7 linked regions of the Sus scrofa genome follow. The protein of the gene in region 3 purifies or fractionates together with the protein of the main gene of each other region. This does not show direct contact. Links are inferred from orthologs where the notes say so. Each region holds a gene or a part of one and is shown on either strand. Other genes may lie near its edges. The genes, in order: POLR3F, POLR3K, POLR1C, POLR1E, POLR3D, POLR3G and CRCP.

Region 1 (3,500 bases), on a different chromosome or scaffold from region 3:
ATGTAGTGTTCTGGATAGCATCGTGGACCATAGAAAGGACATTAGGGAAAAACTAAGGAAATCTCAATAAAATATAGACCTAAGAGTTAGTACTGACATATTAATATTGGTTCATTAATTGTAACAAATGTACTCTAGTAATGTCAGATGTTGCTAATAGGGGAAGCTGAGCACAAGGTCAGTGGGCAGTCTGTACCATCTTTGCAATAATTCTGTAAGCCCAAAACTGTTCTGAAATATAAAGTTTGGAAGGCTTTGAAGTCTTAGTTTTGGAAGCCTGTGTTGTTACCTCTGAACCATCTGCTCTGCATGTTTTTTCCTAGGCCTCTAAAAAGAAGGTGTATATGCTCTATAACCTGCAGCCGGACCGGTCTGTGACTGGAGGAGCCTGGTACAGTGACCAGGATTTTGAATCTGAATTTGTAGAAGTGCTTAACCAACAGTGTTTCAAATTCTTGCAAACCAAGGTGAGGCATAACTGAGATCACATGATCACTGTAGTTTTTTTTTTTTTTAAGTTTCTTCACAAGAAATGTTTAATCTTGTACATCATATTTTGTTTCAATTGAAAATATTGAGATTGTTCTTTTTCACTGAACAAAATACATTCTGTTGCTTTCACTCTATATAAACTGTATTTAGAAAACACCAGAATTCTTCCTGAAATTTATGTTTCTATCTTTATAGGCAGAAACGGCAAGAGAAAGCAAACAGAATCCCGTTATCCAAAGAAATAGTTCTTTTGCTTCATCACATGAAGTGTGGAAGTATATCTGTGAGTTGGGGATCAGTAAGGTCAGAACTCAGTTTCTAATTTTATCTTGTTCTTAAAAACTTATTCTTCAGGAGTTCCCGTCATGGTGCAGTGGATAACAAATCTGACTAGGAACCATGAGGTTGCGGGTTCGATCCCTGGCCTTGCTCAGTGGGTTAAGGATCCGGCATTGCTGTGGGCTTTGGTGTAGGTTGCAGATGCGGCTCAGATCCTGCGTTGCTGTGGCTCTGGCGTAGGCCGGTGGCTACAGCTCCAATTGGACACCTAACCTGGGAACCTCCATATGCCGTGGGAGCAGCCCTAGAAAAGGCAAAAAGACCAAAAACAAAATACTTATTCTTCATCACAGGGATATAGTTTACAGTATATTCCAGACACACCTGACACAGACCCTTTTTTCAGGTGATACCTGTGTATATTCTGCAGAACCCATTTTGAGAAAGTACCATTCTAAGCCAGTTAGGCAAAGGCGGTCATTGCCATCGGGCACTTGGTGAACTGTATGTGCTTGAGCCTGGGATACAGGGTAGCAGAGTGGAGGCCTGACAGTTCGTTTCACTGCCAGATTCAAGTCTGTTCTGGCAAGTCTGTGACTCTCTGGGGGACATTTCAACATATGTGCCAAACATCAGTCATCGTATCAGTTGTCACTAATTGGTATTTTCCTCCTTATGAGATGCAAGTGGTGGTGTCAGCACACTCTTCTGAACATCCATACATATGGACAACATCAGAGAAGAAACTGAAGCAGTCACTTGGACAAGTCATTTTCATTTCCTGGGTTGCAGATGTTTCTTTCACAAAAAACCAGGAATTTGGACTATTTGATACTCAACCATTTTATAACTCTCCATCAAATTCTTGCCAAAGAAATGTTACGAGATGTCTGGATCTTACTTAGGAGCGTGAAGATGTCAACAAATGTCAAGCTCAGCATGAGCTCAGTTAACCACCCTCCAGAAGGGTGTCTCCTTGTCCTTGGGTCCTTTCTAACATGTCCCTTTTTTAGGTAGAGTTGTCCATGGAGGATATTGAGACCATCTTGAATACGCTCATTTATGATGGGAAAGTGGAGATGACCATCATTGCTGCAAAAGAAGGCACTGTTGGCAGTGTGGACGGGCACATGAAACTATACAGGGCAGTCAACCCAATCATCTCTCCCACGGGATTGGTCCGGGCCCCCTGTGGACTCTGCCCGGTGAGTTCAAGTGGCATCACTGTACACTTCACTGCCACCAAGTGCAAAGCTGCATAACGTACCAGCAAGCACACCCTAGTTTTCTCAAACCTAGGGTTGAACCAGTGCTGCTGAAGCCTCCATGTAACCTTGAGGACAGGCCTTTAATGAGCAAATGATCACCATACATTCTTAGAACAACCAGGTTAAAGAAATTTGTTTTCTGTTCTTGGTCCCAAAATGGACATTTTTTTTGTTTTGTTTCGTTTGGTTTTGGTTTTGGTTTTTTGGTTTTTTTACTTCTTATTTTTTTTTATTACTCAAATGAATTTATCACATCTATAGTTGTATAATGATCATCACACAAAATGGACAATTTTTTGATGGGAGCAAATCATTTAACCTATGTAGGGAGGGAACTGAGATTTATTGAGAACCTGTCATGGGCCAGACATGTTCGTGAAGGTCTCTGTGGTCTCATTTAACCCTCAGGTCCCTCACAGCTGGCAGTGTCATTTCCCTTTAAGCATGAGGGAACTTAGGCTAAGGGCGCTCTGAGAGCATACAGCTCAGACACAGCAGCCAGGACTCACAGCTAGAAGTGATGTGCTTTCCTGAGGCCTGGCCCACCCACGTTTTCATTTGTTCCTTCCCAGAGAGCTCCTGAGCACCACCCGTGTGCTGCAGGCACTGTCCCAGCCCTCATGGCATTTATATCCTTGGCCTGCTGGCCTGTGTTTTATGATCTACACGCCTAAGCTCTCTATGCCCTGGTTTCAGCTCTCATAAAAATGGCTAACCTGTTGGGAATTCCATTTATCACCTTTCACACAAAGAAGGTAGCTAAACAGGGGGTGTTTGGTCAGTTAAGTCATTTGTGTGTATAGATCTCCCTTCCTGGGCTCTTGTTACCTGCCAGCACCCCAGTGGGCAAATGAACGTGGTTATCTTTATGTGTGTTGTCTTTTTTTTTTTTTTTTTTTTTGTCTTTTAGGGCCGCACCCGAGGCACATGGAGGTTCCCAGGCTAGGGGTCTAATCAGAGGGGTCTAACCACAGCCATAGCAACATAGGATCCAAGCTGCGTCTGAGACCTGCATCACAGCTCATGGCAACGCCAGATCCTTAACCCACCAAGTGAGGCCAGGATCGAACCTGTGTCCTCATGAATGCCAGTCAGGTTCACTAACCGCTGAGCCATGAGGGGAACTCCTTGTGTGTCTTTTTAGGGCTGCGGCTGTGGCATATGGAGGTTCCCAGGCTAGGGGTTGAATCGGAGCTGTAGCTGCTGGCCTATGCCACAGCCACACAAGATCCTTAACCCACTGAGCAAGGCCAGGGATCGAACCTGTGACCTCATGGATGCTAGTCAGATTTGTTTCCACTGAGCCACACAGGAACTCCAAACATGGTTATCTTAATGCTAAAGTGAAAGGTCTCTCACTGACTGATCACAAAGCAAGTCGTGTTTCAGTATGTTCTTACATACAGTCCTAATAAAACCTCTTTCAATTTGAAAGTTTTGTTGTTAATATTGTTTTAAATA
Region 2 (4,277 bases), on a different chromosome or scaffold from region 3:
GTCAAAGCCCCATTTTCTTGGGTGTGCCAACATATAAATAAATGTTTACGAGCGTCAGCTGGTGGCGAGAGAAAGCTCACTGCCCACTAAACGGGAAAGATGGATAACAGGACCCTAAATAAGACGCACTTGGTGTGGCCACTGCCCCCAAACACAAGTTCTCCCTGGACGTCAGCAAATTCATCCACTGCCTGGGCGATGGGGGCCATCTCCTGGCCCCCCGGCCGGGCCACTCTGAGAAGGCTGGCTTTCTGCCACACCGGCAAAGATGCTCAGAACCCGCAGTTCCCTTCCAGCTGGGAATCCGCCCTGGGGAATGAGGTGAGCAGATGCTGGGCAGCGGGGCCACCCGGCCCTAGTCCCTCCAGCGGTGTCCACACTGAGCATTGCAGCACTTGTAGAAGGTGGTCATGGGCTCGTCGGCAGAGCGGGTCTGGAGCTGCATGAAATAGGCCCGAGGATGCTCACACTTGGGACACGGCTCTGGCGTGAGAAAAACAAGGGACCCACGGTTACTTCAAAAAGGATGCCCAGTGTGGCACAGAGGCTGAAGAATCCGACTGCAGCGGCCTGGGTTGCGGCTGCGGCGCGGACCAAGTCCCTGGCCGGGGAACTTGTGGCATGTGGAGGTAGCCCAGAAAGGTCACGGTCATAAGGCAGTAAGCCACCTCAAGATTCGAAATCAGGTCTGAACAGCTCCAAAGCTTGTGCCGACACTGGTTTTGGAACAAAGAAAGTATCAAGGAAGGAGTTCCTGTTGTGGCGCAGCGGAAACGAATCCGACTAGGAACCATGAGGTTGTGGGTTCAATCCCTGGTCTCACTCAGTGGGTAAAGGATCTGGCCTTGCTGTGGCTGGGGTGGAGGCCAGCGGCTGCAGCTCTGATTAGACCCCTAGCCTGGGAACCTCCATATGCCGTGGGTGGGGCCCTAAAAAGCAAAAAACAAACAAACCAAAAAAACCACCACATGAATAAATAAAAATTTCTAAGAAATTATTAAGGAAGAAAATATAGACTTCCTCTTCGCAGAAGCACAAGCAGACTGCCACGGAGGGGCAGAGTCAGCAGCCCCGTACCATCCACAGCTCTGCCCGGGAACAGGCCTCTCCCTCTCACCTGCGGTGGAGTCGACGTTCTCCCAGGCAGCTGCTCCACCAAGCACGTCATCCACTTCTTTCAGCTTTGGGTACTTCCGATTCGTTACCTAACAAACAACAGCCACTCTTCAGTCTCTCCAACTGACTGAACCGCACACCCCAGGATCACCTAACCACACCTGCCCGCAGGTGTCTGGCTTCTTCCACCCTTCAACCCGGACGGGAGGGGTACTGGACAGGCAGAGGCCCTGCTCCATCAGAACTTAGAGGACCCATGATTGGACTGCCCCAAGAGAAGGTCTCTGCAAGGACTGGACAAAGCAAGAGGAGCAAGAGAAGCATGGCTCGGGTATGGCCCTCCTCTTCTCCCACACCCCCTAAGGCTGGGTAGCCCGAGACGAGGCCCCAGAGAACTGAGGCCAAAGAAGGGCAATCTCAGCCGGGGAGCCGCCCCCCCCCCCCAGGCTCCGGGCAGAGCTTTCTAAGCACTTGCCAGGTTCTACCAGCCGTCCTTGACCTGTCGGGGTAGGTAAGAGTCCACCCTCCGCGTCGTTTCAGACCCTAAACTCCCACAACACGGCCACATGGCAGGACACTATACAAATCTATACAAATACTAAGGAGAAAGTAGCACTTGGGAGTTCCCTGCTGGCTCAGCGGGTTACCGCCCTGGTTCTGTCCCGGTTCTGTCGCTGCTGTGGTGCAGGTTTGCAGGTGTGGAAAGCGACATAAGCAAAAGAAATCTTGGTGACTCCATTTTGCTGAAATGCCTTCCTGCAACCCCCCCCCCTTCCCTCTTCTCCCAGTAACAGTTTGTTTCAAATTAGCCAACTGGGAAGAACGTGCACCCTGACCTGACCCACGGGAAGGGGACAGGGTACATCCCCTGTGTTAGGGATAAACAGGGGAGGGTCCTTTGTTCGGGGCACGCGCACTTTTTGGGGTGCCCAGCGCCCTTCTGCAGCAGTAAAGAGCCTTGTCGAGATCTCCCCGTGTTCACGTGCCTCATTTTTCGACAATGACGATCCGAGCCACGTCCCCAGCACAAGGAACTTGTGCATGCCAGGGTGCCGGGGGCGCGGCCAAAACAAAAACTAAACAAACAAAAAGAAAGAAAGAAAAGAAAGTATACTGGAAGGCAGTGAGCCCTATATGAAAAATAAAACTAGGGAACGGAAAGGCCGCATTTATATAAACAATCCCTTAGGTAAATACAGGCAGGAGTGACAGGAACGAGTGAGTCCCTAGGGGAAGAGCGACTAGAACAGAAAACTCCTGCACAGACCCTGGAAGCAGCGCCTTGGGCAAGACCGGGGCGCCTCCGAGAGGCTGGCGGTGCGGGCAAGAGGCTGCTGGGACGCGAAACCCAAGCAGAGGACGGAGCTAGGGGAGGTGAGGGTCAGGGCCTGGCGCGCTCCGCGAGAACGACGGCTGCGGCCCTGCGTGCCGGGAGGCCGGCGCGGACCCACCTTGCGGGTGATGTTGTGCACATAGGGGCAGGTGTTGCAGGCGAAGCGGTGGCAGCGCTGACCCTCCTCCACAATCAGCCCGTTCCCGCAGCCTGGGCAGAAGAGCAGCATCACGACAGCCCAGCCTACGCTCCCTGCAGCTCCCTGGCCGTGGACTCCGGGGGCTTCCGGGCGCCCCGAACTCCCCATTGGTCCCGGCGGCCGCCTCTCAGCAATCAGCCCACCAGTAGGCACGTCGGCTCCGCACTCCCAGTGTGCACTGCGGCAGGCTGGCTCCCAAAGCATCATTTCTCATTGGTCCTGGCGGTAGCCCCGCCCCTCGACCAAAGGCCGGGCCGTGGGTGGCTTTCCCCGCGGGAAGCCCGGGAATCCCGGGCCCGGGTCGCGAGAGGCGGTGTGGGGGCGGAACCCGCGGGCTGCGAGGCGCCCTGGAGGTGGCGGGGGCCTCGGGACGGCCAGAGCCGCAGGAGGACGAGGAGGATGAGGAAGAGGCACTGCCGCACTCCGAGGCGGTGGACGTTTTCCAAGAGGGTCTGGCCATGGTGGTGCAGGACCCGCTGCTCTGCGACCTTCCGATCCAGGTGCGCATGGGTCGGGGCCTCTTCCCCCGCTCCGGAGCCCAGCGTCAGGGAGAGGACCGATTCTGGGGTACCGATGATGGCAGCGGCCCGGAGACCTCCAGAAGCGGCCTCAGGGCGTAAACGAGGGTCTAGGCTCCGACTGGGCCTGGGAGGCGAGCGAGGCACTGGTCTCCGGCGCGGCATTTACGAAGGGTTCCCTGGTAGTCTAGCGGTTAAGAACTCCGCCATTGTCACTGCTGTGGCTCGGGTGCTGCTGGGCGTGCGTTCGACTGGCAGAGGAACTCTCGCATGCTGCGGGCATGGCCAAAAAAAAAATAAAAAAGGAGCGCCAAAAACCCGCTAGTCAGGACACATGACATTTCAGTATAGTGTTTTGGTTGGTTTAGGAGGTTTTTTGTTGTTTCGGCTTTTTGTTTTTGTCTTTTTAGGGCCGCACCTGGGGCATATGGAAATTCCCAGGCTAGGGCTGGAATCCGCTGGCCTACACCACAGCCACAGCAACTCAGGATCCAGAGCGGCATCTGCGACCTTCAACACAGCTCATGGGCAACGCAGGATCCTTGACCCACTGAGTGGGGCCAGGGATGGAAACTCCAGTACAGTGTTTTTAAAACTCAACATTGGTTTATAAAGACCTAGGGTAAACAAAATGATATCATGTCAGATAAAAAGACCAGTATTAAAGATTTCTGGAGTTCCCATCATGGCTCAGTGGTTAACGAATCCGACTAGGAACCATGAAGTTGCAGGTTCGACCCCTCCCTGGCCTTGCTCAGTGGGTGAAGGATCTGGCGTTGCTGTGAACTGTGGTGTAGGCTAGTGGCTACAGCTCCGATTAGACCCCTAGCCTTGGAACCTTCATATGCCGCCAGTGCAGCCCTAAAAAACCAAAAAAATGAAAAATAATAAAGATTTCTCCATTCTCCTCAGGCTTCAGTATGACCTGGCACACTCCTGTTTTTAAATCTTTGTATTTTGCCCATCATGAAAATGTTAAATTAGTTTGTTTTCTTGATAGTGGTATTCGTCTTCTGTTGCCCCGGTAAATGTTGCACCCCTGCCCCAGCCTTGCCTGGGGCCCCAGGGCCTGAGGGTTTTTTTGGGGGCAGGGGGAGCCCTCCCAGGCTGG
Region 3 (4,114 bases):
CTTCCCCGCCTGCCACATCTGAAGCAAGGAAGACCGGGTGGGGTGGGAGGGTATCGTGAGACTCTTGGCTTTAAGGCCCTTTTGCTTATTTCTTGTTGGATCTCTACATGGTTCTAACTGGACAAGCTGGGGTGAACTTCACTAATACCAACTCAGAACCAGAGGCCTCAGGATACTTTTCCACCTGTCAGAGAGCCAGTCTTGCTTACCTGATCAGCCACCTGCCGGCTCAGCTGTCCCTTAAAGCCCTTCATGCCCAGAAACTCCCCATCCTCTTCTTCAGCGGCAGCTGCATCAGCATCCACTTCTTCCTCACGCAGGCGCTGATGCAGCTCACCCATATCCTCGAAGCTGGAACCTGAAGTATCATCCATGTTCTCCATGTCAATCACAGCTGAGCCCCCACCCTGTGAAGACAACGGATCCCACAGTGGAGGACCTTTCTGCTCCATCCGTTATGTCCTTCTCTGTTCACCGGAGAGCTTGGAGCTTTGTCCTTTCACTGCTGGAGATACGGCTTAGAATTACCATAGACCATGCCACTCCCCTCCCCTCAACTGCTCTCAGAACCTTTGTTTGGCTCTCTTTTCCAGCCTGGGAAACCTACTCCCTGTCTTCCATACGTGTCCTTTTCCTACCAAAGCCACAAAAGGCTGCAAAAGTGCCCATTTCCTTTGTGTTTTCCACCCCAAAACAAGGCTGCGCGCACAGTGTGGTTTTGGCCAGTGAATCCCGCCTACCCCCCATCCCACCCTCGCCCCTGGCCGTGCCCGACCTTCTAAGTTGTGCGGAAAGCAAGAGCAAGGGGGCTCAGAGGTACTAGTGTGGACCTTTTAGGTCCGCACTAGTTCCACTGCCTTTCACGTGCACGAAGACCCAAAGAAGACAAAAAGTTCTGCAAACGGAGCAGACTTCCAAGGCTCGAAGGAAGAGTCCCCATGACACTTCAGGACAGCTGCAGGCCGTGGGGCTGCTGGCAGCCGGAGCCGTGGGGCGCTTACCTGGATGTTTTCATCGAATCCTCCCCATTCCGGGCCAGCCCCATTTCGGGCGCCGCCGGCCGGCGCCGCCGGAGTTGCCATGTCCCTCGAGGGCTCCCGTCGCTGAAGCCCGCGCTAGTCCCGCGCGCTGAGGAGGAGTGGGAGAGATGAGGGCCTGACGGATGGACAGGTCCAGGGACTAGAAAGAAAGGTGGGATCGGCCGGAACGCAAAAAGGAGAAAACCGGATGTTTGGTTAAAACTGACTTCCGGTATCTGAGGACGTGGACGGAGGCGGGGCAGATTCTCGCGATATTTAGGATTCCGGGAGGTGGTGTGTTGCCACGGAGACGGGGCAGGGAGACTAGAACGCACGCGCAGGCTTGGTACTCTAGTCACATGGTGGAGTTGAAGATGGCGGCGGCTCAGGCTGTGGAGGAAATGCGGAGCCGCGTGGTTCTAGGGGAGTTCGGGGTTCGCAATGTAAGTCTTGTGGACTTGACCTCGGGAGGAGAAATCAGAGCGGAGCAGGGATGAGTTAGAGTCGGAGTGGGGATGAATTTGGCCTCGCTGCTCCTTCGCGAACAGGTTCGTTTCTCTTTGCTCTAGGTTCATACTACCGATTTTCCCGGTAACTATTCGGGCTATGATGATGCCTGGGACCAGGACCGCTTCGAGAAGGTGGGTAGAGCTGGAGGTGTTCAGAGAGGGTATGAGGATCGGATCTTGCACTCTGAACATCCTGTTCCTCGGAAACTGCCTTGGGGGTTCGCTCTGGATGTGTTAGGCACTCGATGTGCACAATTTCTGCTTTGTTCTACAAGCTAACGAGATGGTTCGGTCTTTTTGGAAAAGAGTACAGGTAACACGACTCTAGTGAGTTGTGGTAAGGGCGATTAACAGCAATAAAGATTGAAGCTGCACTCCCTTTCGGGTGGGACTCGAACTCAGCCAAAACCCCCATTGGAACTTGAACCCATGGTCCCTGACGTAGGAGGGGACTCAAACCCACTGTCTTAATTGATACCGCTCACCTGCTATCGTCAGGACTTCCTGAGCCTCAGGTTTTGTCTCGTGGGAAAAAGAATTCAGCGTGAGGCAAACCGATACACAATAAGTGAATTTATTAGCATAGGACGCTTGTCAGAAATACTAATGAGCAGGCAAGGGAGTGCGACCCAGAGAACAAAGAGGGCTACATTTTTATAATCAAGGTGAAAGTGGGGCGGGGAGAAGACCACCTTATTTCTCATTCTTGGGTAAGATGGTCCAGGCTTGCATCATCAGTTCCTCCTTTGACCCTATATGGTCTAAGGGGGAGTGTCATGGGCTGTTTAAATCATAGGTATATTAGCAGAAGCGGTAACATATGCGAAAATGTGGTAATTCGTTTCAGGTTGCAGAATAATTTCCCCTTTCACCTAGTTTTTTCCCTCTTTCACCTTGTCTACATGCAGCAATGCCAGTCTTCAAGGACCAATAACTCTGACTTCATGTAACAAGATTGAAACCCCATATCTCTTGTCTTGGGTTTTAACTATCAGGACTTGTGGCTTGTTTCTGGTGCTTAGATACACCTGGTCTTCCTTCAAGGTGGTGTAGATTGTTGCTAAGTTACTGGATTCTTAAGTGGTCGGTTGTTGGCTTACAGCAGTCTTCAAACCCCCTTAACATTTCCTTTTTGTCTTTAAACCCTAGTGGGACTTCTAAACTATGTGATTATCCTACTCTATCCCCATCATTCCTTCCTCCAGCTGTTTTACTCCATTATGCTTAAATGAGCAAATAGGGAGAGACCGATCATTAGCTGCTTCCTCCTGAGATGGGTCATAGGTCTGTCTAGAGAAGGAGCATAACACCTGTCCCTCCTCTGTTGGGAAAATAATAAGCCAATGCTGCTTGTTAGTGTTAACCTTGTGGCTTCTGTTGATCTTCCGCATCAGATGATAAATCTATTAAAGAAATCAAGAGAAACGCAGCAGTAAGCAATTAAAAGAGATTGTAGCCAAGATTTTGGGGATCCATTCCTTCATTCCTCCAAAAGCCCTCCCAAATCTGGAAGAAGGCAACTGAAGGTCTCAATCTGTGTTTGTGTTTTAGCACTTGAAATACATTAGCAGATTCATCAAGAATAAAAGCACAAGATTCCACCTTAATGATGGCACAGTTTCCTTCCTGGGAGGCTGTAATAATGTCTAAGGCTATCCTGATTTGTAGAATGGCTTTTCTCATTAAAGTCATTTCAACATTGGGTAAAGAAATAGCATCCAGGAGTTCCCATCGTGGCGCAGTGGTTAACGAATCTGACTAGGAACCATGAGGTTGCGGGTTCCATCCCTGGCCTTGCTCAGTGGGTTAAGGATCCGGCATTGCCATGAGCTGTGGTGTAGGTCACAGATGCGGCTTGGATCCCGCGTTGCTGTGGCTGTGGTGTAGGCTGGCAGTTACAGCTCCTATTAGACCCCTAGCCTGGGAACCTCCATATGCTGCGAGAGCGGCCCAAGAAATAGCAAAAAAGACAAAAAATAAAATAAAATAGAAATAGCATCCAGCATAGTCCACCTTAATGATGGCACAGGTTCCTTTCTGGGAGGTTGTGATAATGTCTGAGGCCATCCTGATTTGTAGAATAGCTTTTCTCATTGACGTCATTTCATCGTTGAGTAAAGAAATAGCATTACCTTCTTTTTTTTTTTTATTTTTTAAAAAAATGACTTTCATTCAAAGTCTCCTGTGTAAATTTTGTTAAAGTTTCAATATGAGCTGCAACATTTTCAAGACCTAAACCTGGCGTAAAGATGTTTAGCAAGTGATCATACCAATGAAAAACAGACCAAGTCCATTTTGCTTTTAGCAAGGGGAAGTTGGCAGGAGAATAATTCAGAGGATAATAATCATAATGCATATTTGTACTATTCTTTGAATGTATTTTGTTCCTTAATAGTTAAAGCAGATGTACTTCCTCCCTCTCTATGTGCTTTTTAGGGCCTCACCCTCAGCATATGGAAGTTCCCAGGCTACAGCTGTTCTCAGAGCTACAGCTGCCTGCCTCCGCCACAGCAACTTGGGATCCGAGCAGTCTACACCACAGCTCATAGCAATGCCGGATCCCTGATCCACTGATTGAGGCCAGGG
Region 4 (3,993 bases), on a different chromosome or scaffold from region 3:
TAAGTTAACGATGTGGTGAAAATTAATGAAGGTGATCAAAAAGTATAAACTTCTGGTTGAAAAAATTTTGTAATTAAGTATGGATGTTAGCTAGACTTACCATGTTGCCATTTTGCAATATGTACATATATTGAATCATTGTTATACACCTGAAACCAATGTCATATGTCAATTAGCTCTCAGTTAAAAAAACTCATCAAGATTGTAAATAAATGAGATTTTTAGGAAATTAAACAAATCTAAGTCACTTTTCATTTTCAGGAATGTCTACATGCTGGTGTGAAGGCCACTGGGTCTGGGAACACAGAAACTTGAGAAACCTCTCTAGATTTCCCCCATTGCCCCTAAAATAAAGGCAGAGAAGAGCAGTGCCAGGGCTGCCGCCACCACCCTCTACTCCCCGCAATCCCTTTACCCTGTCCCTACCTGCAGAGAGTGTTGCATTTGAGGGCTCCAGTCCCAAAATTGTTTCCCACATAGGAAAGTCTGTCTGTTTCAGCTGCCTAAAATGGAGAGGGGGAAAGTTCCATTACAACCAATGCTGAAAGATAATAAATATCTTGACTTCCCACAGCTGAGCAACCTCAGATACAGAAGCTTTAGACTCCAAACCACAGTAGATTAGAACAGGGAGAGCCTCTTTGAGATGATCCAGCTCCACTATCTTTAAGTGAATTTTGGGTGTCCCTGGGGAAAAAGCAAAAGGATTTTTGAAAGGGAAGCCCCAGGTATTGCTGGCTTCCAGCTAGGCCAGAAAGTTCTTGGTGGAGCTTGGGAGAGTAGCTGAGCACGTAGAGGCATGCAACAAAATGATCCTGCAGGCAACCCCAAAGTCTAACCCCTTCTTGAACCTCTTTGCCACCTCTTCCATGACTGTTCCTTACATGCTCCCAGGACCATGGAAATGGCTAATATACTCCTCAATCATAGCCAAGTTTTCCTGCTTCCCCATGTTTGTCCTTGGTGTCCTCTTCACTTGGAATATTAGCCTCAGCTGTCAAACCTTCCTCCATCCTTCAGGGCTCCAATGCATCCTGCCACAAGAAGGCATTCTGGCAAGCAGAGCGCACTTTGCCCTGCTCTGTACCCTCCCTCCCTGGAATCCTGAACTTTGTCTCCTTATGTGTAAGTGTCCCCTACATCCAGTTCTCACTTCTCTAGATCAGTGGTTCTCAACCCAGGGAAATACCCCTATGGGGACATCTGGGAATGTCTGACATGCTATTGTCACAACGAGGAGGTGCTAGGTATATTTGGGTAGAGACCAGGGAAGCTGCTAAACACCAGGGATGTGCAGAACAGTCCCCACAACAAAGAATTATCTGGGTCAGAAGGTCAGTCGTGCTGAGATTGAGAAATGCTGCTCTAGATTATGAGCTCCCTCCGGGTGGGGCCATGTCTGACTTAGTTGTCTCCCTAGCTGCTTACGGCCCAGAGCCACAGTGGGGGTTCAATAGATGGTTGCTGAATGAACAAATGAATAAAGGGCTATCATTTCACCATAAGTGTGAAACTGAATGGAGCCTGCTCCCACACACCAGCCTGCTGGGGCTCAAAGTTCTTTAAGGCTAATCTGCTATCCCCTGCTTTTCTCCTCTCACTCCCTTCCACACCCAAGGGGCCTCCTGAAGCCTGCAGAGTGGAGAAAACAAGCTACTGCAGCACTTACCAGGATCCGCTGACTCCTCTTCCTGGGGTTTGTGGAATCATTGCTCTTGTACAAGGTGAAGCGCATGTTGCCTGGATTCTGCAGCTTCCCATTGGAGAACTGGACTGTAAGATTGTAGCCCAGGAATGACATGAGAGCAGAAGGACCAAGAGAGTATGATGCAGAGGAAACAGACAGTCAATGAGAGGGAGTGACTGAAGGAATGGGGATGGCAAAGAGGCCCAGGTCCTGGCCCAAAGGAGGTTTTTTTTTGTTTTTTGTTTGTTTTTTGTCTTTTCTGGGGCCAAATTCGCGGCATATGGAGGTTTCCAGGCTAGGGGTCTAATCAGAGCAGTAGCCACCGGCCTACGCCAGAACCACAGCAATGCGGGATCCGACCACCACCACAGCTCACGTCAACGCCGGATCCTTAACCCAATGAGCAAGGCCAGGAATCAAACCCGCAACCTCATGGTTCCTAGTCGGATTCGTTAACCACTGAGCCATGATGGGAACTCCCCAAAGGAGGGCTTAAGGAGATCCGGATCCAGGTGGGAAGAGGATGGGGAGGGGATGGGAAGGTAAGGGGAGGCCTGAGGAGAGAGGGGCTTCGACGGGAGGGAATAACTAGGGGAAATGGGACTAACTGACGAGGCCTGGACCAGACCTAAAAAGATAAAGAAAAATTCTGCCCAATGGAGGAAAGTAAATGGAGCAGGTTTGAGACTTGATGGGTGAGGAGATGACCGGGTCTAGAGTACTGGGAAGGGGTAACTGGTAAGGCCTCATTCAGCGGGAAGGTGGTGACAGAAACGCGGTGAGATGACAGAGGAACCCTGGCCGAGCCCTAAGTAGCAGTAGAGCCTGGAAGGGATCTGGCCCAGCTGAGAAGGGGGACGGACCAGTAAGGGAAGACGAGGGCTGTAGATACCGAGACAGAAAGGGAGGAAGTTACAGGGAGCTCTGCTCCGGCTCCGCAGTCCTTACCCAGTAAAGCTCTCTGGCTCTCTTCGGGGTCTCCACAGTACAGCCACCTTGCACTCGGCAACACCTCCGCCGCCATCTCGCCCTTCTACCGCCAAGCACAGGAGTTAAGACAACTGCGTCCGCTAGGTACACGCGGGTGGAAAAAAAAAAAAAAAAAAGGCAGGGCGGAAGAGGCGTGGCCTCTCCGGGCACCGCCCTGCGCACGCAGAGATGCGTGGCTCCGCCCCCATCAGGCCCGGCCCCTAAGCGCTGTCTCGCTGAGCTCTGAGGCGGGCCATCCCCTCTCACTCTTCGCCCGCCCCTCCGCGTGGAGAGGCGGGGTCTCTGCGCTCCCTATGCCCCGCTCCTTCCTCCGCAGCAAGGCGCAACACGTGATTGGCCCAGCACTCGGCCTGCTCTTTACAGGTCGTGTGCCGCTAGGGAGCACACTACCTTCAGGTCTTGCTTTAGCGCATAGACGGGTTTCTTCGCGGCTGAGTCTAGGTAGGGTATGGTCTATCTCTACCACCGAGGCAAATAAGTCTTACTGACGCCTGAAAGTCCAAGTTCAAATTTAGAATTTTTCGATAGGCAATCCTTGCACGCTAACTAAATGTGGCGACTGGCGGAGACCGGCCGCTTTCCAGGACCTCCATCCACACACCTGGATATCAATCCTTAAGCCCAAACGTGATCCACAATCCTGTAAACAGTAACATGACCTCATCTTCTCGGACCTTGGCACAGTACCACCTGTGGTTCAATCAACTCTGAGAGTATGGACCAGTGGGAGAGGCCCAGCAGACTCAAAGCTTCTGGGGTGGACAAGAAGGGGGAACCAGAAGGCATGGTCCTTTGTCCCCGCGGATTCAACCCTCCCTACCGCATGGGGAGTTATTAGGCAAAAAGGAGGATTAAAGCAGATCTTTCAGCATGGGCCCAGGCTAGGACCCGTTTTTCTCAGTCAAAGGAGGGTACTGTTGAAGGGAAAGAACCAGGTTGACTCATCTGTGTTTTCCAAATTGCCTTCTTTTGAGACTTCCCCTCCCCCTGCACGTACTTCCAAGATGATCTAAAAAACATTAACACCTGGGAGTTCCCTTCGTGGCGCAGTGGTTAACGAATCCGACTAGGAACCATGAGGTTGCGGGTTCCGTCCCTGCCCTTGCTCAGTGGGTTAAGGATCCGGCGTTGCCGTGAGCTGTGATGTAGGTTGCAGACGCGGCTCGGATCCCGCGTTGCTGTGGCTCTGGCGTAGGCCGGTGGCTACAACTCCGATTAGACCCCTAGCCTGGGAACCTTCATATGCCACTGGAGCGGCCCAAGAAACGGCAAAAAGACAAAAAAAAAAAAAAAAAAAAGATAACACCTGAGCTCTC
Region 5 (3,007 bases), on a different chromosome or scaffold from region 3:
CAGCCCTATGATTTGAACACTTCCCTTCCTCCCCATGTTCCACACCAATTCCTTAACCATCCTCAATGTCTTAAAGAGCCTCAGAGAGACCTGGCGGGCCCTCACCTGCAGGAAAGAGCAGGCGGTTCCCATCGTCACGTCCAGAGTCACCTTGCCCAGGAGGAGCTGCACCTTCCCTGACTTGCGGATGAGCAGCTTGCCAACCTGGCCCTCTGTCAGGTCAGCCAGGGTACAGGTGTTCTCTGCCAGGCGGGCTTCCTATGAAGACAACCAGGGGATGGAAACCAGGTAAGGAGCCGTCTCTTCCATCCTTCAATAATGAACCCTTTCCTACAGGAAGGCAGCAGCAGCAAAGGTGAGAAGGAGCTCCCCAGGGAGTTCCTGTCATAACACAGCGGAAATGAATCTCACTGGTATCCATGAGGATGCAGGTTCAATCCCTGGCCTCACTCAGTGGGTTAAGGATCTGCCTTTGCCGTAAGCTGTGGTATATAGGTCACAGACATGGCTTGGATCTGGCGTGGCTGTGGCTAGACTGGCAGCTACAGTTCCGATTCAACCCCTAGCCTGGGAACCTCCATATGCTGCGGATGTGGCCCTAAAAAGACAAAAAAAGGGGGGGGGAGCTCCCCAAAGAGGGCCTTTTCCTGGAGCTGCCTGCCATTGGTCAAAAAACCAAACCCCACCCACAGCAAACACCAGCAAAGGAGCAAAATACCAGCAACTGCTGCAGCTGGGTGATAGTACACAAGAATTTACGTTCTCTCATTTGTGTATGTTCAAAATATTCCATTGTGAAAAGGAAACACATACAATTGGGGTTGAAGTGCAAAGCCCCAAGGCCCCTACATGCAGAAAGAACAAATGCATACTGTTCTCCCATTTCAGGACAGGAGGCACACCTTTGCTTCCCCTAAGGGTGGTTGTGTCCCCTCTCAGTGCCCCCGCATCTTCACAGAACTCATTCCCGAGCATACCCGGTCTTTCTCCTGCTTTATAACCACCATCTGGCCATCCTCGCCCTGCACCTCCGTCTTGACAGGCTTGATGTCCTGAGTGGGTGGCTGGCCAGGGAGCGAGTCTGGCAGCTGCAGGAACAGCAGCTCTTCCTCCTGTGTGAGGCTCAGCTCCCTGAGCAGCTCTGCCACAGACACGTCCTTCGGTAGGCTCGGGGTCTTCCGGGTGGCTCTGGGAGGAGCCTTCACCTTGGTCTCCTCCTCCTCATCTCGTGGTTCTTCTTTCACTGCCCAAGACAACAGAAATGGAAGTGCTATCAAGTGGCCATCACCCATGATCTCACTGCACCCACCCCTTCGCCTCGGTCTGCTCCACTGTCATTCAGCCAGGAAGCTGGAAGGAAACTCTGTTTACAGAGAAGGATCCAGGAGTTACATAAAAAGAGGTATCTGAGGCTGGGCCCACCAACTCCTGTTGCCAGGAACCTGCTGAGAGTGAGAATTTAGTGCCCGTGGCCAGGTCCTGTATTGACGGCTGGACTGCCTTATGAGTTGGTCTGGGAGGCTCATTCCCAGAGAGGGGGTGGGGCAGGCACAGAAAAGGAAAGGAGACATTAACTGACACAGAGTACCTTTCACAGCAGGCCCGTCCACATCCATGTCCTCTTCCTTGTGGCCAGGAAGCCAGGGTTTAACATCTGCTTCTTCATCCTCTTCCTTAAAAAGCCAGCCTGAGTGAGCCAGTGGCAGTTGCACAGGTGTATTTCGAGTGTCATTCCTTAGGCCAGGGTCATCGATGAACTGTCAAAGAGGAGCCAAGGGTCACACAGCCAGGCCCGCAAACACATTTGCCTGGAGTGCAGTCCACGTTCGCCCCTTTTTTCCCCCACCTTAGCCTTTTTTTTGGGGGGGGGGTCTTTTTGCCTTTTAGGGCCACACTTGTGGTATATGGAGGTTCCCAGGCTAGCGGTCCAATCGGAACTGTAGCCGAGGCCTACACCACAGCCACAGCAACGCAAGATCTGAGCTGCATTTGCAACCTACATCACAGCTCATGGCAATGTTGGATCCTTAACCCACTGAGCAAGGCCAGGGACCAATCCATGTCCTCATGATGCTATCCGGGTTCACTAACCACTAAGCCACGACTGAGAACTCCCCACCTTAGCCTTTTCCTAATTGAAGATTCCTGCTACTCACGGGGCTTTCAGGACATCAGAGCTCTCTTCTCCCCGACCTGGCTCCCCAGAAGCCCCTTCCCCCTAGCCTGATGGTACCTACATCATCCTTCTCCAGCATACGCAGGATCTGTTTTGTTTCTTCGTCCGTCTCCCTCTTCTCCTTTTTGATGTTGATGATGTGAGAGGGCCCAATGTCTGACATGTCCACGGTCTTATCCCAGTTCCCTGTGGGAAATGACGCAAGTAGTAAAGAAGGGGCCAACAGCAAGGAGGCATGTCCAACATGCCAACAGCAAGGCCAACATGTCCACGGTCTTATCCCAGTTCCCTGTGGGAAATGATGCAAGAAGTAAAGAAGAGGCCAACAGCAAGGAGAGCTAACTGGGAGCAAGCAGGGGAATGCCACTGCCCTTGCCCTCCTCGTGGGCAGCTGGACCTGAAAGCCACTGATTCCTTCCTCCCAGAGCCCCGGCAGCTTTGTACCCTTCTTCTTCATCATTTCAGCTGGGCCCTGCTCAAAGATGGAGTGGGACTGGATCACTTCTGGGCGCCCCCGGCCCCTTCCATGGCCCTCTCGCTGTCGGTCTCTATCCCTTTCACGCTTTTCCTTCTTGACTGCTACTTCTTCCTTGGGCCTGGAAAAGAGAAGGGGCAAAATAAAACCACTCACTTCCCTGCCTCCGAGAACTGGTCTTACTTTCCCACACCACTCCGTTCCAACTGTATGGAGAATTTAATGAGCCAACAAGTACATCATGAGAAGCAGAACCCCCAATCCTAAGTCGAGCATCTTTTCACTTGCTTGATGAGGTGAAGTCCTTTCAGTTTACCGTTGCTTTACCTTTTTGTTCGAGATCACGTATTAGAACT
Region 6 (3,500 bases), on a different chromosome or scaffold from region 3:
AAATTATATTCTACAAAAGCTAAAACAAAAACAAAACACCTACACAGACAAGAGTCTCTCCAGACTTTTATATCTTCTTAAAAATTAATGTAATACTTTGGGCAACACAATAGGAAAATTAAAGGATAATGTAATAGAAATGATTTATTTCAAAATGGCATGATCTTTCTATGTAATTTCACCATTCTTTCATTTTTTCTATTTTAGTCTTTATCTTACATTTTTCAACATAGTAGGGAATAATTTTAAAAAATGATGAAATAATGTCTTTGTTAATAAAACAGAAAAAATATTTCAAGATGCAAGAAAAATAAGATCACTAAGATTCCAAACTATATTTTAGATTTATGAAAGACTCCATTGGGCCAATATGGTAATGCTAAGATAAAATGAGTTTTCCTCTTGTTTTAAAGTAAATTCTCTTAGTTCTTTGGAAGATTTCTAAATAAGAACTATGAACATCAATCATTACATATAGTAAGAACCGCTCAAAAATAAATTCAAAAATTAAAATGAGATCTTATAGACCTTTATAGTATATTAAGAGTTAATACACCAAACTCCATTTTTTCAAAAATACTATCTTGTGGTAATAATGGAGGTAAATGTATGATTTCCACTAAGCTTTAGAAGTGCTGAAAATGGCTTACAGAACCATCACCATTGTCACTCCTGTTTCTAACTAAGAGGACCCCAGTGGTTCAGGAACCTGAGCTGGGAACCAGTGCACCAGATGCTCTCTGTGTACCTTTGCAGCTAAAATCCATTAAGAAAATAATATTCATTGATGTTTTTTCTTTATTATAAAAATAACAAATTTTACTGTAGAGAAAATACCAACCACTGCTGTAATTCTACTTGAAAACACTACAAACAAACCTTGAAGACATCACAACAGGAAATATGTTTATTTTGTGCCCTCAGTTCTTTGCAACACACCTTAATGCCCTGAGCGACCAGCCACCAGGTTATCAGGACAAGACCTCTTCCCACCATACTGTCTAAGTCTCTAGGGATTTAGTTCTTTACATCAGTGTATACTTAACAGTATATATTATATTAACCTGTATTCATACATATATATTGTATTTTTCTTTAAAATCTTTATTTTCAATCATAAATAGAACGTGTTTACATTCCATTTGGAAAGAGAGATAAACATGAGTATATTCAAAGAGAATTTATTTGTATCAATTTGGAAAAGTCTATGCAAGTTTTCCTCTGAAGGAAACAGTAGCAAAAGATTCCTTTATTTATTTATTTATTTATTTATTTATTTATTTATTTTGCTTTTTAGGGCCACACTAGCAGCATATGGAAGTTTCCAAACTAGGGGTCAAATTGGAGCTATGGCTGCCGGCCTACACCACAGCCACAGCAATGCGGGATCTGAACTGTGTCTGTGACCTTCACCACAGCTCATGGCAACCCTGGATCCTTAACCCACTGAGTGAGGCCAGGGATCGAACCTGCATCCTCATGGATACTAGTCAGGTTTGTTAACTGCTAAGCCACAAAGGAACTCCCAAAAGATACCTTATATTTTTAAATATTTTATTATGCAGTTACCAAAGATAAAGAGCCTCTTGATCCAGGTATAAACCAGCTATTCCCAGAAACAAGCAACAAAATTATGTTCTAAATGTCCCAATCTGAAAGACTCAACATAAATGCTTTCATGGTATGATAAACTTTCAAATGAGACATGAGTTTTAATAACAACCACATTTAGTTAAGTAAGTACATCCCATAGTCTAGAGAAGAGACTAACTTTTAGAAGACTAAAGTATATCCTACATTATTATTTTTTCCAGTAATAGTGATTATTTATTTAGTTCACTTATCATTAGTTAAAGCTTTAATTTCATTTTCAAACTCGAATAGATAAAAGCATAGAACATAATCTTAAAAGTAAAAAAATTCCGTACTTTTGAGGTTAAAATATCTAACCATTTATTATATAACTTTAAGCAGCTATGTTTTGAAAAATTAAATGAACTTGTCTAAAATGCTTCTTAGAATTATAAACACAGGTAATATTACTACATAAGACTTCCTTTTTGATTCTTATCCAATTCTAAGCCTTTTAGAGAGAGGGAAAATGGTATGCATTTTTAATACTAATGGAATGAGATGATACGATATGAATTTCTCATGTTTTAATGATGTTGTTTTGAGAGCTCAAGGATGATATCGACCTCTCTAATTTCAACATTCAAGGACAGGAACTGAAAATCAATACTCAACCGAGCTAAGTACTCAGGAATGGGTTCCTTTCCTCTAAGACTACTTCCCACTTCTAGTGAGACTGCTAAGACTTCTCCAACGGCAATTTTTCCTCTCTGTCCTTGGCATAACCAATTAATACATATTTTGTATTTTACATCACATATATGAATGGTATGCCAAAATATGGTCAAGGCTTTTAAAATTTTTAACAAAAATTTAATCAGAGAACCACTTAAAAAGTGATGTACAAGGGCAGTAATCGTAGTATTATATATGAGCAAAAAACTAGAAACCACCTTAAATCTAATAGTAGGGAACTAGTTACAATTAACATTATATCCACATAATGGAATACCACATAGCCATTAAAAATCATGTTTTCCAAGACACTAGGAATGTCTTCCTAGTGTTATTATTATTATTAAATGCTAATAATATGCTATTGAGTGAAAAAGGAAAATACAAAGCAATGTGAATCCAATTTTGTAAAAGGAACATACATACAGAAGAAAAATCTAGAATATATAATAATACATTAATAAGTTGTTCTCTAAACATAAGGAGTATAGATAATTTTTACTTTCTTTTGAGTTCCCGTCATGGCTCAGCAGAAAAGATTCTGACTAGCATCCATGAGGACACACGTTCAATCCCTGGCCTTTCTCAATGGGTCAGGAATCTGGCGTTGTCATGAGCTGTGGTAAAGGTCACAGATGTGGCTCAGATCCCGCTTTGCTGTGGCTGTTGCTGTGGCTGTGGCAAAGGCGGGCGGCTACAGCTCCAATTCGACCCCTAGCCTGGGAACCTCCATATGTCATGGGTGTGGCCCTAAAAAGACAAAAAAAAAATTTTTTTTACTTTCTTAGTATTTTTTTTTCATAAGTTTCACTGAACACATAAAACATCTATTGTGAAAGGTAATTTTAAAAATAAAATATCAAGAAGTTTAAAAAACATTTTCTGTTAAATCAACATTAAATATGCTTTCTCAATGTAGTTGATAACTTCTGACTGAATCAAATCAATCAGCATTAAACATCATACATCTTATACTGAAACTCTGTTTCATCTGCAGACAGTGAACCACATAATCAAAGAGTTCAATACACACCTTGTTTTTCTTCAGGTGTTTCTACAAAATAAGGCATTCTTTTCATTGTTTCTCTCAACTCCTGTTTTAAGGCCAGTACATAATCTTCACCCTCTCCTGTTTTCAGTGGCACTGGTTTATAATCTGTATCCTGTTTAAATGAAGAGGCAAATTTTAAAAA
Region 7 (3,500 bases), on a different chromosome or scaffold from region 3:
TCACTAGGGTATAAACTCTTGAGGGCTGATATGGTTACACAACAACTGATTAGGAAAATGGTACCCACTATTTCAGGAATGAACCTTGAATAAATGGCAAGTCCCCTGAGCTGGCAGTGGGTCATCCAAAAACTCTGAAGCAAAAAGAGGCAAGGAGGTTATCTGGATAAACCACTAACTGGGAATCAACTTCATTTTTCAAGAGCTCAGGAGCACCTTCTCGAAAGATCACCTCCCCTCAGTGCTGTGTCTCCCAGAGTGACCGGACTGGGTGTCAGCCTCCACGTTCGGAACGTAATTTAACTACGGACAATGCATTTATTAACTTTCACAAAGACCAAGGATAACATGCAAACAAACATTTTTTCTTTTTAAAGAATAAAACAATCACCTGGTCAAACATTAAAACCATACAGAAGGATATAAAATAAAAAAGCAAGTCTCCCAGTCTCCCAGCTCTCCTTCCCAGATGTGATCCTGTGTAAATTACAACTTTTTATTTCTGAAATATTGATTATTAATGTGATGGGGATATTACACAGACCATATTTCTTATAAAGAGTAAGTCTGACCTAATCAGAAGCTGAGGCTAAATTCTCGGATCTAAATAGATTCAATTTAAGAAAAATACTAACATGTATATATTTTATATATGTTTTCTAAGTCAGATTTCTTTTTTTTCCTAATCAAGGCAAAATAAACTCTTGAAAGATAAAAACAGCACAAGTTGGCAGTCACCTGGAAACAATTTATCATCAACTAATCAAGCCTTAAATCCATGAAGAAAAAAAGCACCTCAAAAATGCAACAACAATGACATGAGCACCAAAATACGTGTCTTGACAAATCAATAGCTCCTGGTAAAATTCCTGATACTTGAAGAAGATTTAAAAATAAATGCCCTGTTCATGTCAACATTGCCTGTGAGCAGATCTCAAGTCATCCTTAGAAGATAAGGTTAAGATGAACGTAACTGCCAGCTGGCAGGGGTGGTGGGGAGGCTGAAATAACCTGGGAATAGCAAGAGGCGGGAAGTAATCCAATTAACAGAAGCACGGAAAATATGTAATCGTACAACAAAACGAGTACCAATTTGAAAAATTAATGTCTATGGGCATTTTCTTCCCCAAATAGGGAGCAGAGTGAACGGGGGAATTAATTTTTAACACTATTCCTAGGACCTAAGGGCAACTACACGTCTGGGGCTACGACACTCTCCAAAGCATGAACATTAAGAAGTTCTTCACATGGTAATTATTCTAACATTTTAAATTTTCAAAAACTGATGCAACCTTGCAAGAGCCAACAAAATTAAAGTCTTATTAATCAACCTCTACCTCTTCATATTCTGTCCACAAAAAGAGAGACATTAACTGTGCCCTTTAAAAAGATACAATGCACCCATTGTGCACATGGAGCTCACCTGCTGGCCTCAACAAGCAGCGCCTGTCACGGGGCAGGAAACCGAAGGTGGGCAGAAAGGCAGGCGACGTGGTCATTCGGCCTGGATGCCTCTTTTCAACGGGAGGGAGCCGGCGCTCTAACACTTCGGACTAACTAGGGAGCCAGCTCACAGGGCCCACGCCAGCAGAGGAAAGGGGCCTGAGGAAGGGATGGCCAGGCTGTTCCTTTATCTCTGTTTCTCGCAAGGAAAGGAGTCCTCTGAGGTAAGCCAAGGTCAGTAGCTGATTTTAACTCAGAGCAACCATTTGCTGCTTTGCGTGTTTTTAGCCCTCTACTGGGATTCTCCTAACTCAGCTTTCATCCCAACAGTGCTCCGCGGCCTTCAGGGAAGCCGCCCAGGGAAGCAGATGGAATTAATTAGGCGAGAGCCCATCAAAGGCAACAAGGAAGTATTCCACCAGCTATGCACAAGGACCTTGCCCCGAGCACGCCAAAGACCATGGAAGGATTTTTACCACAGGGGGTTCCACGTCCTTGTCCTCCTCGACCCTGTCCTCCTTTCTTTAGCTCTCTGCCCTGACCACTACCTCAGCCTGTCTTTACCAGGTTTCTTCTCCAAAGCACAAGAATTTCTTTTTAGCTTCTTTCTGAGGAAGGCTTATTTTTGTGGTTTACCAAACCAGCCACAAAATCAGGCCTGTTGGGACAGAAGGTAAAACCAAATAAACAGTCCTTTGAATGTCTGGGAAATGGCTGCTGGGCCTTTCGACTTCACAAGACCCTGGAGCCAACGGTGCTCTTCTAGGCCGGGTCCTCTTCGTCCATTGTCACGTCATCGCTGGTATGTGTCTTCTGCTCAGCCTCTGGCCCCGCAGGCAGGATGCTGGTGACGGTGTGGAGCAGAGCTTCGATCTGCTCCTCTGTCAGCCGTTCTTCGCTCTCCTCCACCATCTGCAGAGGGAAAGAAAACCCTCCAGGAGTTACAGAGACGCCTCGATGGCGGGGCCCAGCCTCGCCCTCTTCACCCATGTTATTCCTGGTCTAGGCCCGGGGCTCAGGGCCTGGCTCCTGAGCCACCCCTGGTGTCCAGGTCCTCCATCTTCATGAATGGGAGAAGCCAGCTCAAGTTCCAGAGTAAGCCAGTGTGAATGCTCCACAAGGGTCAGTGAAAAAAGCAAGCTGCAGGTTAACATTTTTTCCTGAAAGAAAAAGCAATCCCTAACAGTTCTCTACCCATCCACATACACACATGAATGTTGTACATGCAAAGAAAACCCACCTCTGGGGAGCGAAGTGGCATCTTATATACTTTGGTAATTTCACAACAACACAGCTGTAACTTATAAACTGTATCAACAACTCTCTGGATGACCGCCCACTATGTGCCAAATGCTTTATATATTTTTGCTAATCCCCACTACTATCACTGCTGACAACAGCCCTTTAGGGAGCTCCTGTGCCCAGTGCAGCGTCGCACCTAGTACTTCATGCTCATTATTTCTGTTAAACCTCACGACAAGCCTGGCAAAGGGCAGAATCCCAAGCCAGGCCTGCCCATCTCTAATACCTACAATCTAACACAGGCCGCATGGCCTTGGCCAGGAGAATGCAGAACAGGAGTCCGTGAATGACAGCTGGGAAACAATCTCCCTCGACCCCATCAAAGGTCTGCTTCGAACCCAGTTTCTGACGTGCTCCTGGGCAGCCGAACATAGAGATGATGAAATCCACAATCACAAGCCAGTTTTCTTAGCCTCATCTCTAATTCTCAATAGGTCAACAAACAAAAAAAATAATGTAATCAACCACTTTTGTAAAAGCAGCCTGCAGGCAGTCAAGTTACCTAACCACACTCACTTGGTGGCATGAGCCATCGATCACAAACCACTTTCTCAGCTAAAGATGTCCAGGGTCCTAGCCTATGGCATTTCCCCTAACAATCTCTGAAATCTGGCCACTAAGATCAAAAGGCGTTCCAGAAAGAATTCCTGGCAGATTTAAGTAAAGCATGATGACAAGCTAGGCTTATGATCCTAAAAAGGACTTCAGTTTGACTGCCTAGCTTTACAAACAATAGTACAGAAGCTAAAGAAGTC

The links.
Region 1: the proteins of POLR1C (region 3) and POLR3F purify together in Homo sapiens (affinity purification with mass spectrometry; 4 studies listed by BioGRID and IntAct, counting the BioPlex papers as one, with this or other methods). This does not show direct contact. The link is inferred for Sus scrofa from reciprocal best matches to the Homo sapiens genes POLR1C and POLR3F.
Region 2: the proteins of POLR1C (region 3) and POLR3K purify together in Homo sapiens (affinity purification with mass spectrometry; 4 studies listed by BioGRID and IntAct, counting the BioPlex papers as one, with this or other methods). This does not show direct contact. The link is inferred for Sus scrofa from reciprocal best matches to the Homo sapiens genes POLR1C and POLR3K.
Region 4: the proteins of POLR1C (region 3) and POLR1E purify together in Homo sapiens (affinity purification with mass spectrometry; 5 studies listed by BioGRID and IntAct, counting the BioPlex papers as one, with this or other methods). This does not show direct contact. The link is inferred for Sus scrofa from reciprocal best matches to the Homo sapiens genes POLR1C and POLR1E.
Region 5: the proteins of POLR1C (region 3) and POLR3D purify together in Homo sapiens (affinity purification with mass spectrometry; 6 studies listed by BioGRID and IntAct, counting the BioPlex papers as one, with this or other methods). This does not show direct contact. The link is inferred for Sus scrofa from reciprocal best matches to the Homo sapiens genes POLR1C and POLR3D.
Region 6: the proteins of POLR1C (region 3) and POLR3G purify together in Homo sapiens (affinity purification with mass spectrometry; 4 studies listed by BioGRID and IntAct, counting the BioPlex papers as one, with this or other methods). This does not show direct contact. The link is inferred for Sus scrofa from reciprocal best matches to the Homo sapiens genes POLR1C and POLR3G.
Region 7: the proteins of POLR1C (region 3) and CRCP purify together in Homo sapiens (affinity purification with mass spectrometry; 5 studies listed by BioGRID and IntAct, counting the BioPlex papers as one, with this or other methods). This does not show direct contact. The link is inferred for Sus scrofa from reciprocal best matches to the Homo sapiens genes POLR1C and CRCP.

Annotation. Positions count from the first base shown.
Region 1 is NC_010459.5:26,732,839-26,736,338, forward strand, and holds part of POLR3F (DNA-directed RNA polymerase III subunit RPC6), read left to right. Parts: intron 1-323; coding exon 324-467; intron 468-687; coding exon 688-795; intron 796-1,784; coding exon 1,785-1,976; intron 1,977-3,500. UniProt on the Homo sapiens protein: DNA-dependent RNA polymerase catalyzes the transcription of DNA into RNA using the four ribonucleoside triphosphates as substrates.
Region 2 is NC_010445.4:41,570,252-41,574,528, reverse strand, and holds the start of POLR3K (DNA-directed RNA polymerase III subunit RPC10), read right to left. Parts: upstream 2,801-4,277; 5' UTR 2,757-2,800; coding exon 2,568-2,756; intron 1,206-2,567; coding exon 1,118-1,205; intron 484-1,117; coding exon 356-483; 3' UTR 1-355. UniProt on the Homo sapiens protein: Core component of RNA polymerase III (Pol III) which synthesizes small non-coding RNAs using the four ribonucleoside triphosphates as substrates. Can mediate Pol I proofreading of the nascent RNA transcript.
Region 3 is NC_010449.5:38,510,207-38,514,320, forward strand, and holds the start of POLR1C (DNA-directed RNA polymerases I and III subunit RPAC1), read left to right. Parts: upstream 1-1,314; 5' UTR 1,315-1,378; coding exon 1,379-1,462; exon of another isoform or gene 1,463-1,534; coding exon of another isoform or gene 1,535-1,567; intron 1,568-1,588; coding exon 1,589-1,660; intron 1,661-4,114. Other genes in the region: protein YIPF3, read right to left, coding at 1-18, 210-407, 1,002-1,082. UniProt on the Homo sapiens protein: DNA-dependent RNA polymerase catalyzes the transcription of DNA into RNA using the four ribonucleoside triphosphates as substrates.
Region 4 is NC_010443.5:238,196,466-238,200,458, reverse strand, and holds the start of POLR1E (DNA-directed RNA polymerase I subunit RPA49), read right to left. Parts: upstream 2,801-3,993; 5' UTR 2,712-2,800; coding exon 2,636-2,711; intron 1,774-2,635; coding exon 1,670-1,773; intron 504-1,669; coding exon 427-503; intron 1-426. UniProt on the Homo sapiens protein: Component of RNA polymerase I (Pol I), a DNA-dependent RNA polymerase which synthesizes ribosomal RNA precursors using the four ribonucleoside triphosphates as substrates.
Region 5 is NC_010456.5:6,524,013-6,527,019, reverse strand, and holds part of POLR3D (DNA-directed RNA polymerase III subunit RPC4), read right to left. Parts: intron 2,773-3,007; coding exon 2,238-2,772; intron 1,758-2,237; coding exon 1,589-1,757; intron 1,244-1,588; coding exon 978-1,243; intron 259-977; coding exon 106-258; intron 1-105. UniProt on the Homo sapiens protein: DNA-dependent RNA polymerase catalyzes the transcription of DNA into RNA using the four ribonucleoside triphosphates as substrates.
Region 6 is NC_010444.4:97,661,756-97,665,255, reverse strand, and holds part of POLR3G (DNA-directed RNA polymerase III subunit RPC7), read right to left. Parts: intron 3,471-3,500; coding exon 3,341-3,470; intron 1-3,340. UniProt on the Homo sapiens protein: DNA-dependent RNA polymerase catalyzes the transcription of DNA into RNA using the four ribonucleoside triphosphates as substrates.
Region 7 is NC_010445.4:16,584,006-16,587,505, forward strand, and holds the end of CRCP (DNA-directed RNA polymerase III subunit RPC9), read right to left. Parts: intron 2,356-3,500; coding exon 2,206-2,355; 3' UTR 299-2,205; downstream 1-298. UniProt on the Homo sapiens protein: DNA-dependent RNA polymerase catalyzes the transcription of DNA into RNA using the four ribonucleoside triphosphates as substrates.